3 linked regions of the Kluyveromyces lactis genome follow. The protein of the gene in region 3 interacts with the protein of the main gene of each other region in a pairwise test. Links are inferred from orthologs where the notes say so. Each region holds a gene or a part of one and is shown on either strand. Other genes may lie near its edges. The genes, in order: RPT3, PTH2 and RAD23.

Region 1 (3,280 bases), on a different chromosome or scaffold from region 3:
CAATTTCGATACTTTCTTTCAAGCAGAAACCATCATAACTTCATGGCTCGTCTTTAATATTGTCATGGGATTGATAATGGGAGTATTCCATCAAGCAGGAATAATACCTCTCATATCCTACTTCTCAGGTGAAGAATTCCCTGTTCATATTTGGTGGAAGACATATTCTCCTCCGACGTGGATGTATTCCAATCCTGATCTGACGGTTTCTACCACGAACTTTAAGGAAAATGTAGAGTTTGTCGATAATATACCTTGGCATGTTGTATCAAATCATGTTGTTGATTTAAAAGGTAGTGACATTGAGTTACTAAATAAAACTCTTACAAAATTTTCGGAGAACACAGACTCAATTCAGCTAATCATGCCAAATACTGTTCTCGATAAATTGACCCCCCTTCAGTCGCAATGGAAGTTCATCACAGAATGGGAGACGCAGCAGCATCTCGATTTAGATCACATTGATATGCCAGACTGGACTACCATAAAGCCAGGATTAAGGCTATACAACGTAAGTCTAATAGTTTGAAATATTACTGGCTTATTTTCTATTAGGAATACTTTCCAATATACACTGCATTTACCGATATGTATTGAGTCAAACACAATTAAATTAAATTATTTATAGAAGTCGAATTTATCAACATCGCTACCTGACTTGACTTGTGAAGCATACGCTTCCTCCAAATCGCTTTGTAGGATGACGTATCTGTTCTTTCTGACAGCTCTTAGACCAGCTTCTTGCATAATGGCGGCAATCAAAGCACCAGATAAAGGATCATTTCTGATGATCAAAGAATCTAAATCTGCTTCAGGAGCTAAAGACATCTTTGCAGCTATAGTACCAAAAATTAAACGACGTTCACGCCTGTCCCTTAATGAAGGGAATTCGATCTTTCTGTCTAATCTACCAGGTCTTAACAAAGCTGGATCTAGAGTATCAGCACGATTGGTTGCCATTATAACTTTAACATTTGTTGACTGATCAAAACCATCCATTTGAGTAAGTAACTCAATCAATATACGTTGGACTTCACGATCAGACCCTGTCTGAGCATCGAAACGTTTTGTAGCGATGGAATCCACTTCATCGATGAAAATAATTGATGGTGAGTTTTCTCTTGCCAATCTGAAAACATCTCTAACCATTCTTGGCCCTTCACCTAAGTATTTATGCACAAACTCTGACCCGTTCACTCTGATGAATGCGGCTTCTGTCGCGTTTGCCACGGCCTTAACTAACATAGTTTTGCCAGTACCAGGAGGACCATAAAGTAAAACCCCTCTTGGTGGGTCAATACCAATCTGTTGATACAAATCCGCCTGTACCAAGGGTAGTTCAACAGCTTCTCTTATTTCTTGCTTCTGCATGTCTAACCCACCAACATCGGCATAGGTGACATCTGGCTTTTCATTTGCGGCCATGATTGATATGCTAGAATCTGAATCAGGTGGTAAAATATCCACAAGGGCATTAGAGTGACGATGTAATGCAACTGAAGTTGATGGTTTTAACAGTTCCCTATCTAGAGTCGATAGAATCCTTACGACATAACTCATACCTGTGGTCGAGGAGACGATACCGGTGTTTTCGTCAATCGGTTCCAAAAATTGACCAATGACAAGTGGCACAGATTGGATTCTTTTCACTTCCTCTTGGGCTCTGAGTAATTCCCTCTTCAAATGGCGCTGTTCATCTTTGATATAATCTTCTTGTAATGTCAATAATTCATATTCTTTCTCCAGCTTCTTTAGTTTCAAGTAGACATCTGAATTACCATTCGCCACGGCAAATGAATCATTATTTAGCTGAGCAAGTAGGGAACCATATGATAGACCATTATTCTTTGCACCAAATTCTACACTAAGAACAGGTTGAGGAGTACTAATACCTAGTTCTTCCATAATGTTTTGATCTTAATTCGTCTTTCCCGTAGTGTGTAAATATTCTAACTCCCTTTAGACTATGATCAAATAAAGACGAAAGTATCCGAAAACACAGAAAAGTTCCAATAATATACTGCAATTCCAATAAACTAAGGGGTCAGTCTTACTACTTACACGGATATATGTGTTTGTACCTACATATATTTATAAACGTATCCCCTTCCACACTAAAGTGGTTATGTCAAATCGTTCAGTTTAATAATTGCATTATTTCATTAAAAAGTTAAATCTCATTTTGGGTATTTTGCCACCCATTTTGCAGTCACGTGATCTCGGTTCTTAGACAACTTTTTCGAAGGGCCTACACTGTTTAGAATGTTAACATGATAGGCTACCCACTACGTATATCAATGCACCTGTGTATACTCAAATGCAGTGTCCTAATAGTATACCTAATGATAAAAGTAGTGTGGAGTACGAGTAGAAACAACTCTTGGTGAAAGTGACGGTTGTCTCCGGTAAAAGAGTTACCAACTTATTATAGTATATTGTCCACTGTAAAGAACACCATATCTTAAAGTCAGCAACTATATTTGAAAATGTGAGGATTTTGGGAACTTCCTCCTGATGGGGTTTTGTTTGAGTTTCTTGAAGTTTTTTATCCATCAAATTGTCTATGGTATTTGACATTTCTGAAATTGCCAAGTTTTGTTCCTTTTGATGATCATCAAGCGCCATTTTTACCTTATCTTCGAAAGAACCGACTAACCTCCTTCTCTTCCAAGGTTCTAGCAGTAATTGAAATATTACGAAGAAGAGTATATTTACTCCCATCAAAATAAATGTACCCCATGTCGAAGTTCTTCTGATCTTATCTGACCAGATTTGTTCTTCGTGATACCTTGTAAGAATGGCTCGGTACAAATTCGTTGAAAGTTCCTCCTCCTTAGCCTCAAGTTCTGCGAGTTTTACCTTAGATTGTTCTTCCGTTTGAGAGTTCAATGCGTCATCTCTGTATAGTTGGGTAAATCTATCAAGGTCAGTAGGAGACCACGAATTTTTTCTTTGCAACAATTCATTAACTTCCTTTTGCGATCCCGATCTTGCTTTTATAGCTGTCTCGTACTTTTCCTTTGCTTCATTGACAAGTTTTTTAGTGTCCTTCAGCTCTTCTTCCAATGAGGAAATTGTATTTCTTAACTTCTGAATACTGGAATATCCTGTTACGTCATTCAAAGCTCTGGTGGCTGTGAATATGGTCTCTTGCAATGAATCTAAATACAGTTCCATTTTGCGAGCCCATTTTTTACGATGTCGTTCTCTTTCGCTAGGTAGGTCCTTGATCTTACCTTCAGCGTTATAGTTCAATTTTGAATCGTTACTGTCATTTTCC
Region 2 (2,711 bases), about 190 kb from region 3:
CTATTGGTTATGTTTCTTACGACTGTGTTCAGTATTTTGAACCAAAGACGAAGAGACCATTGAAAGATGTGCTACAAGTACCAGAATCTGCTTTGATGCTATACGATACCATTGTTGCATTTGATCATGTTTTCCAAAGGTTCCAGATCATAACTAATATCAATGTGAAGACGGTCTCATCTTTGGAACAAGGTTACGAAGATGCATCTGAGATTATCAAACGCATTATCGCCATCTTGAAGGATGAATCTAGTCCGATACCATTACCTGAACAACCATCAATCAAATTGAACCAGACTTTCACATCAAACATTGGTCAAGAAGGATACGAACAGCACGTGAGAGATTTGAAAGAACATATCAAGAAGGGTGATATCATCCAATGTGTTCCATCTCAACGTGTCGCTAGACCAACTTCACTTCACCCATTCAATATCTACAAACACTTGCGTACTGTGAATCCCTCGCCATACTTATTCTATATCGATTATTTGGATTTCCAAATCATTGGTGCTTCACCTGAATTGTTATGCCAAGTTGATGCCAAAAACGAAGTTATCACTCATCCCATTGCTGGTACAGTCAGAAGGGGTCAGACTCCAGAAGAAGATGACAGATTAGCGGAAGAGTTGAGAAATTCTACTAAGGACAGAGCAGAACATGTGATGTTAGTTGATCTAGCCCGTAATGATGTGAACAGGGTCTGTGATCCAACCACCACTTCCGTGGATGAGTTACTTTCAGTGCAAAAGTTCTCTCACGTCCAACATCTTGTCTCTCAAGTCAGTGGTACACTAAGGAAGGATCAAAACAGATTTGATGCTCTAAGGTCTATTTTCCCTGCAGGAACAGTTTCTGGTGCTCCTAAGGTCAAGGCCATGGAATTGATCGGAGAACTGGAAGGTGAAAAACGGGGTGTTTACGCTGGTGCCGTTGGACACTGGTCATATGACGGAAAATCCATGGACACATGCATTGCCTTGAGAACAATGGTTTATAAAGACGGTATAGCCTATTTGCAAGCTGGTGGTGGTATCATATTTGATTCTGACCCATATGATGAGTACGTAGAAACAATGAACAAAATGAAAGCTAACCACAATACTATTCTACAAGCAGAGCAAATTTGGGCTGAGAAAGTTGGCACTCAAGACTAGCGCTGTATATGTCATATCCACTAATAGTTGAACCTGAACCTTTCCCGTTTCGTTCACAGTATGTATTCTATCGTGTATTCACATTAGACTTGTTATAGAATTGTAAAAAGGTAGCTTTAAGTGTACCATGGATGCACATATGAATGGATTAATGCCACTGGATAAATATACGAAAGGTAGGAGTAGGAATCTGGTGGTCTAAAGTACCAGCAGACGTCCTACTTCATACGTTTCTATCCAGCAGTTGCATATAATCTTTTCTTTAGGAAAATTTTACATTAAACCGATATATTCCAAGTGATGACAAGGAGATCACTGGCAGAGCATATTAAAGCAGAGGAAACTGACACTATCACTACAGCTACATCAAACCATAACTGCTATCCAGATGGCACCATCATCGTTGAATTTAGCAGTGTTGTTCACGCTGTCAGCATTATCTCTGACAACTGGATATTATCTTGGACAGATAACACCATCAAGGAAGGATGAGATACAAGAATTGTTGAAACAAGCGAAGATTAAGGCTGAGCGAGATGAGCAAGCGTATGCCAGTGAACATGACGATGGTGATGAGGACGAGGATGAAGACGAATCTGAGGATGAAGATGAAGATGAAGATGGCATTGCAGTAGATTCCATATGCCTAAATGACATTCCTGGTGAAGTAAGGATGGCCTTGGTTATCAGGCAAGATTTGGGAATGACTAAAGGGAAAATCGCTGCTCAATGTTGTCATGCTGCATTAGCCTGTTTTAGGCTTATTGCGTGTGATCCAAGTAGAACTTCATATAATCCGGAGATGACTCACAGATGGTTGGCAAGAGGTCAAGCAAAGATTACTTTAAAATGTCCAGATAAGGAAACAATGGATGAGCTCTTCGCTAAGGCTATTGCATTAGGAGTTAACTCATACGTTGTTCATGATGCTGGTAGAACACAAATTGCAGCGGGAAGTGCTACTGTTTTAGGTTTGGGACCTGCTCCGAAAGCAGTCCTTGACCAAATTACTGGTGATCTCAAGCTTTACTGATACTTCGATCTCTCAAATCGTTGGAATAATCATCGACTGCATAAACAACTCTATCCTGAAAATATAAGGATTTAGGTTGTCTCCGTATATTTAAACTTGTACATATGTAATAATCTTTGTAAAATTATACTATATTTAAGATTTATACCCATCTTTGGACCACCACTGCATTGCATAGGTCTTGATCTTTCAAAGTGGAGTCAAATTCGTCAATGGGTTTTACGGGAAATGCATGGCTTAGTGTAAATGGGCGCATTTCTGCTGTGTTAGCTTTAACATGCTGGTACAAGAATCTGATGGTATCTGTAGAGTTACAACGTAACACCTCCCTCTTCCCAGAAGCATATCTGATCTGTACACTAGTGTCTCCCTTTAGCTCGTCATCTGGCGATTTTTCTTTGATTTCAGTCCCTACTGGAGTAGATTCGGCAGGCGATGCTGATTGAGAGTTTACTGCATCACCAGGAATGGGTGAGCCCAATCTCTTACCTGTTCCTTGGAAGCCACTCACTTTTCTCTTA
Region 3 (3,137 bases):
CAGCAAGTGATGTTGTGTTTATTAGCGACAATGACAAGGAGTTAGACGCAGCTTTGGATGTAGGCATCAGCACCATCTTGGCATTGAGGCCTGGAAACAACCCGGTATCTAATGCAGAAAAATATAAAGCGCTTAATAACTTCTCATCTATATAAGACATGTCTAAGGTACACTGGTTCTCTGAATTGGGACTAAGGATATAGTGTAATGATGAATAAATTTAAAAAAATTAATGAAGGGGATATCTGATTGATTGTAACACAAATCCTACTTGAAGTTGGAAGTAAGAGATCGAACATACCACGCTCCGTCTGTTGCAGATTGACTAAGGTTGGTTAAGTATAACTGCTCATTATGAGTGCGTATGTGTGCAAAAATTGGAAGATGAATATGTGGGATGCCTTCGCTGTAGTAGGAAAATCTGACGGTATAGAGGTCATACTTGGATTGGCAAACACTACATGCTGGAGATATGAGTACGCATATTCCATATTATTAAACAAATTTGGTAGAGATAATTATTTTTGTTTTCTATTTTGAACATATTCTTCTTTCCCTACATGCCTAAAGAGACGATGGTTTATTGAAAAATCATACTACATTCAATCAGCGTAATTGTTGAATAGCATGTTGGCAGCAATTTCTTCGTTTTTGTCACATGCGAAGTAGATTTGCACCACCAAGGTCCTCTCAAAACCCAACTCGCAAAGTCTATTGATAGCTTCTTCATCTTCTGCTGAGATAGTAACATTGGGAGGCGCGCCTTGAGTTTGTCCCCCGAAATCACCTAGATCACCTTCTGCTATGTCATCTCCCAGATTTTCACCCAAAGAATCGGTTAGGGAACCGCCAACAGCTTCTAATAGCAAAGAGATAAACCTTTGTGGATCTTGCAGCATGGTCTCACGGAGATGTGGGTAACGCGTGCTTAGACTCTCGAAAAGTGGCATTAAAGCCTCTGGACGCCCAGATACAACGTCACGAAGTTGTGTAATGTCCTCCATAGTCAATCCGATTGTGCCCATTTCTTCTCCACCTAAACCAGCAGCGGATTCATGACCTTGCTCGCCATTATTGGCTTCTGCTTGTGCAAATAAATTGTCTTCATGTTCAGTGAATTGTGATGGCACGTCTGTTGCAACTTCAGAATTAGCATTCGCCCCAGCTTCACTAGTTACAGCTTCAGCTTGTTGCTGCGATGGCTCACTGGCTTCAGGAATACCCATAAGCAAATACTCCACTGCACGGTCAGGGTTGTTGAATGCTGCTCTAAGCGCACGTTCTACTTGTTCACGATCATAACCCATTTCCATGATTCTGTTCACAGTCTCGTTACGTTGAGAACCAGTGACAAACGAAGCATCAGTCGTCCCTTCTTCTTGTGTAACTGCAGTAGTACCTGTTCTTGTACCAGTGGTTGTAGCTTCCGCAGGTGCATTTGCAACTGCAGAAGTTTCTGCAGAAGCAGTGGCTTGAGATTCATCTTGGGGTTCAGTTGTGGATTCAGTTACCTTAACATCAGCCTTTTTCTTAGTTTTGCTAATCATGAATATAACCTGATCCCCTTCCTTAAGATTGCATCCTGATACGGTCTTAGGATCCTGGAGTATCTTACCTGCGTAGATCAACTTTATTTGAGATGCATCGCACTGTTTTTGTTCAGCGATCAATTCCTTGGCGTGTGAAATGGTGGCATCATCCGCCAATTCAATAGGTAGTTTTTCCTTTTTGAAATCTTTAAAATTAATAAGCATTATGCTTGTGATTTTCTTGGACTTTGTCTCAACGGTTGTTTTCTTGACTTTATCTTCTTTGCCACCCAGCCATCAGATTCAAGTTGATTTGGCATTAATTTCAATTTCTTTCACTGTTCTCAACTTTCATTTTCGATGTTGACAAAAAAAAAAACTGAAGGTATCTGACAAGATGCAGAACTCCGGAATACGCTGAAAATTACAGCTTAATGCAGCTTGATAACGTGTTTTCAGTATTTGCTTGCCTGTAATAGTTACCAGTAGTAATATGGTTTGAAGTAAACAAAATGAACAGATTATTGCAAGTACAATATTAGTATATAATGCATTTAAACGTAAATGTAAAAAAAAGTCTATTGATAAAAACCTCGATAATGATCTAAGGTGCATATTGTACAACTAGATACTCCAACGTGTTACAGTCTGCCTAATAATTGAATAATAATAGGGGATGGAAGCGATGAGAATTGAAATTAGATGGTTAAGATATCTTTTTAAAAAATATCTCGTTAGTGAAGAATGTATTTGTGGGTTTTATAATCTTCTTTACTCTTCACTGCCTAAACAGAAAATTATTAATGAGCAGGATCAAAGTCCAGTGGTACTTCATGTGAATCTTGATTATTTCCTCCGTTCCTTGAACCATCATCTGCTTCATCATCATCTGACCAGTCCACTTGAATCTTCCTATCTAGGACATTCGGATCAATGTTCTTCAAAATTTGTAACCTTTCTAGCTCCCACTCATCTCTCACGTCATCGAAACCAATATCCCAAATTCTAGCATAGAACTCTTGAATTTTTTGCTCTTCAACCCGACGTTTCTCTTCCTCGGCCATCCAGGCCATGTGTTTCAAATCGTCACTTGAAGGTTCGTAAATGTGCCAGATCACATAATGAGGTAGACCGACAACACTGTATTGCATTCTACGTGATAATTTACCAAAGGCTTCAGTTTCAGCATGTTTCTCGAAAGAGAACGCAGGGAAATGAGAACCTGTTCTAAAGACCTTAGCTTTAGATAAGATGGAAACACCACCAATTCCGTCTAGTTCCATCTCGACCTCGGGATCGCCGCTTGGGTCTCTCATGTAGGCCAAATGTGTTCTCCATGTAGCGTATTCCGGGTACCCTTCTACGATACAAGCATCTTCATCCAAAGAATCAGCTAATTGTAATCCACCCTCAGATTCAACCCATGAGTTCAAATCATATGGTTGTATATTTCCCAACCAATCGGGTAGAGGTCTCCAGACGTTTGGAACAATGACGTCTTTATCATGATGCATTAAATCTTCCAAAATAGTATTCGGTATAGTTTGAACGTCGACATCTCTCCAGTACACGTAAGAATGATACGGCTTCAAAGCCGCTGACCCAAGC

What was found.
Region 1: the proteins of RAD23 (region 3) and RPT3 interact in binary tests that used the Saccharomyces cerevisiae proteins (3 or more experiments, as listed by UniProt). The link is inferred for Kluyveromyces lactis from reciprocal best matches to the Saccharomyces cerevisiae genes RAD23 and RPT3.
Region 2: the proteins of RAD23 (region 3) and PTH2 interact in binary tests that used the Saccharomyces cerevisiae proteins (3 or more experiments, as listed by UniProt). The link is inferred for Kluyveromyces lactis from reciprocal best matches to the Saccharomyces cerevisiae genes RAD23 and PTH2.

The regions. Positions count from the first base shown.
Region 1 is NC_006039.1:570,844-574,123, reverse strand, and holds RPT3 (proteasome regulatory particle base subunit RPT3), read right to left. Parts: upstream 1,906-3,280; coding exon 619-1,905; downstream 1-618. Other genes in the region: SMP3 (glycosylphosphatidylinositol-alpha 1,2 mannosyltransferase), read left to right, coding at 1-529; SHE9 (She9p), read right to left, coding at 2,314-3,280. UniProt on the Saccharomyces cerevisiae protein: The 26S proteasome is involved in the ATP-dependent degradation of ubiquitinated proteins. The regulatory (or ATPase) complex confers ATP dependency and substrate specificity to the 26S complex.
Region 2 is NC_006041.1:1,781,719-1,784,429, forward strand, and holds PTH2 (aminoacyl-tRNA hydrolase), read left to right. Parts: upstream 1-1,545; coding exon 1,546-2,190; downstream 2,191-2,711. Other genes in the region: anthranilate synthase TRP2, read left to right, coding at 1-1,157; protein phosphatase regulator SHP1, read right to left, coding at 2,333-2,711. UniProt on the Saccharomyces cerevisiae protein: The natural substrate for this enzyme may be peptidyl-tRNAs which drop off the ribosome during protein synthesis.
Region 3 is NC_006041.1:1,974,033-1,977,169, forward strand, and holds RAD23 (Rad23p), read right to left. Parts: upstream 1,755-3,137; coding exon 603-1,754; downstream 1-602. Other genes in the region: putative acireductone synthase UTR4, read left to right, coding at 1-155; ANP1 (Anp1p), read right to left, coding at 2,330-3,137. UniProt on the Saccharomyces cerevisiae protein: Plays a central role both in proteasomal degradation of misfolded proteins and DNA repair.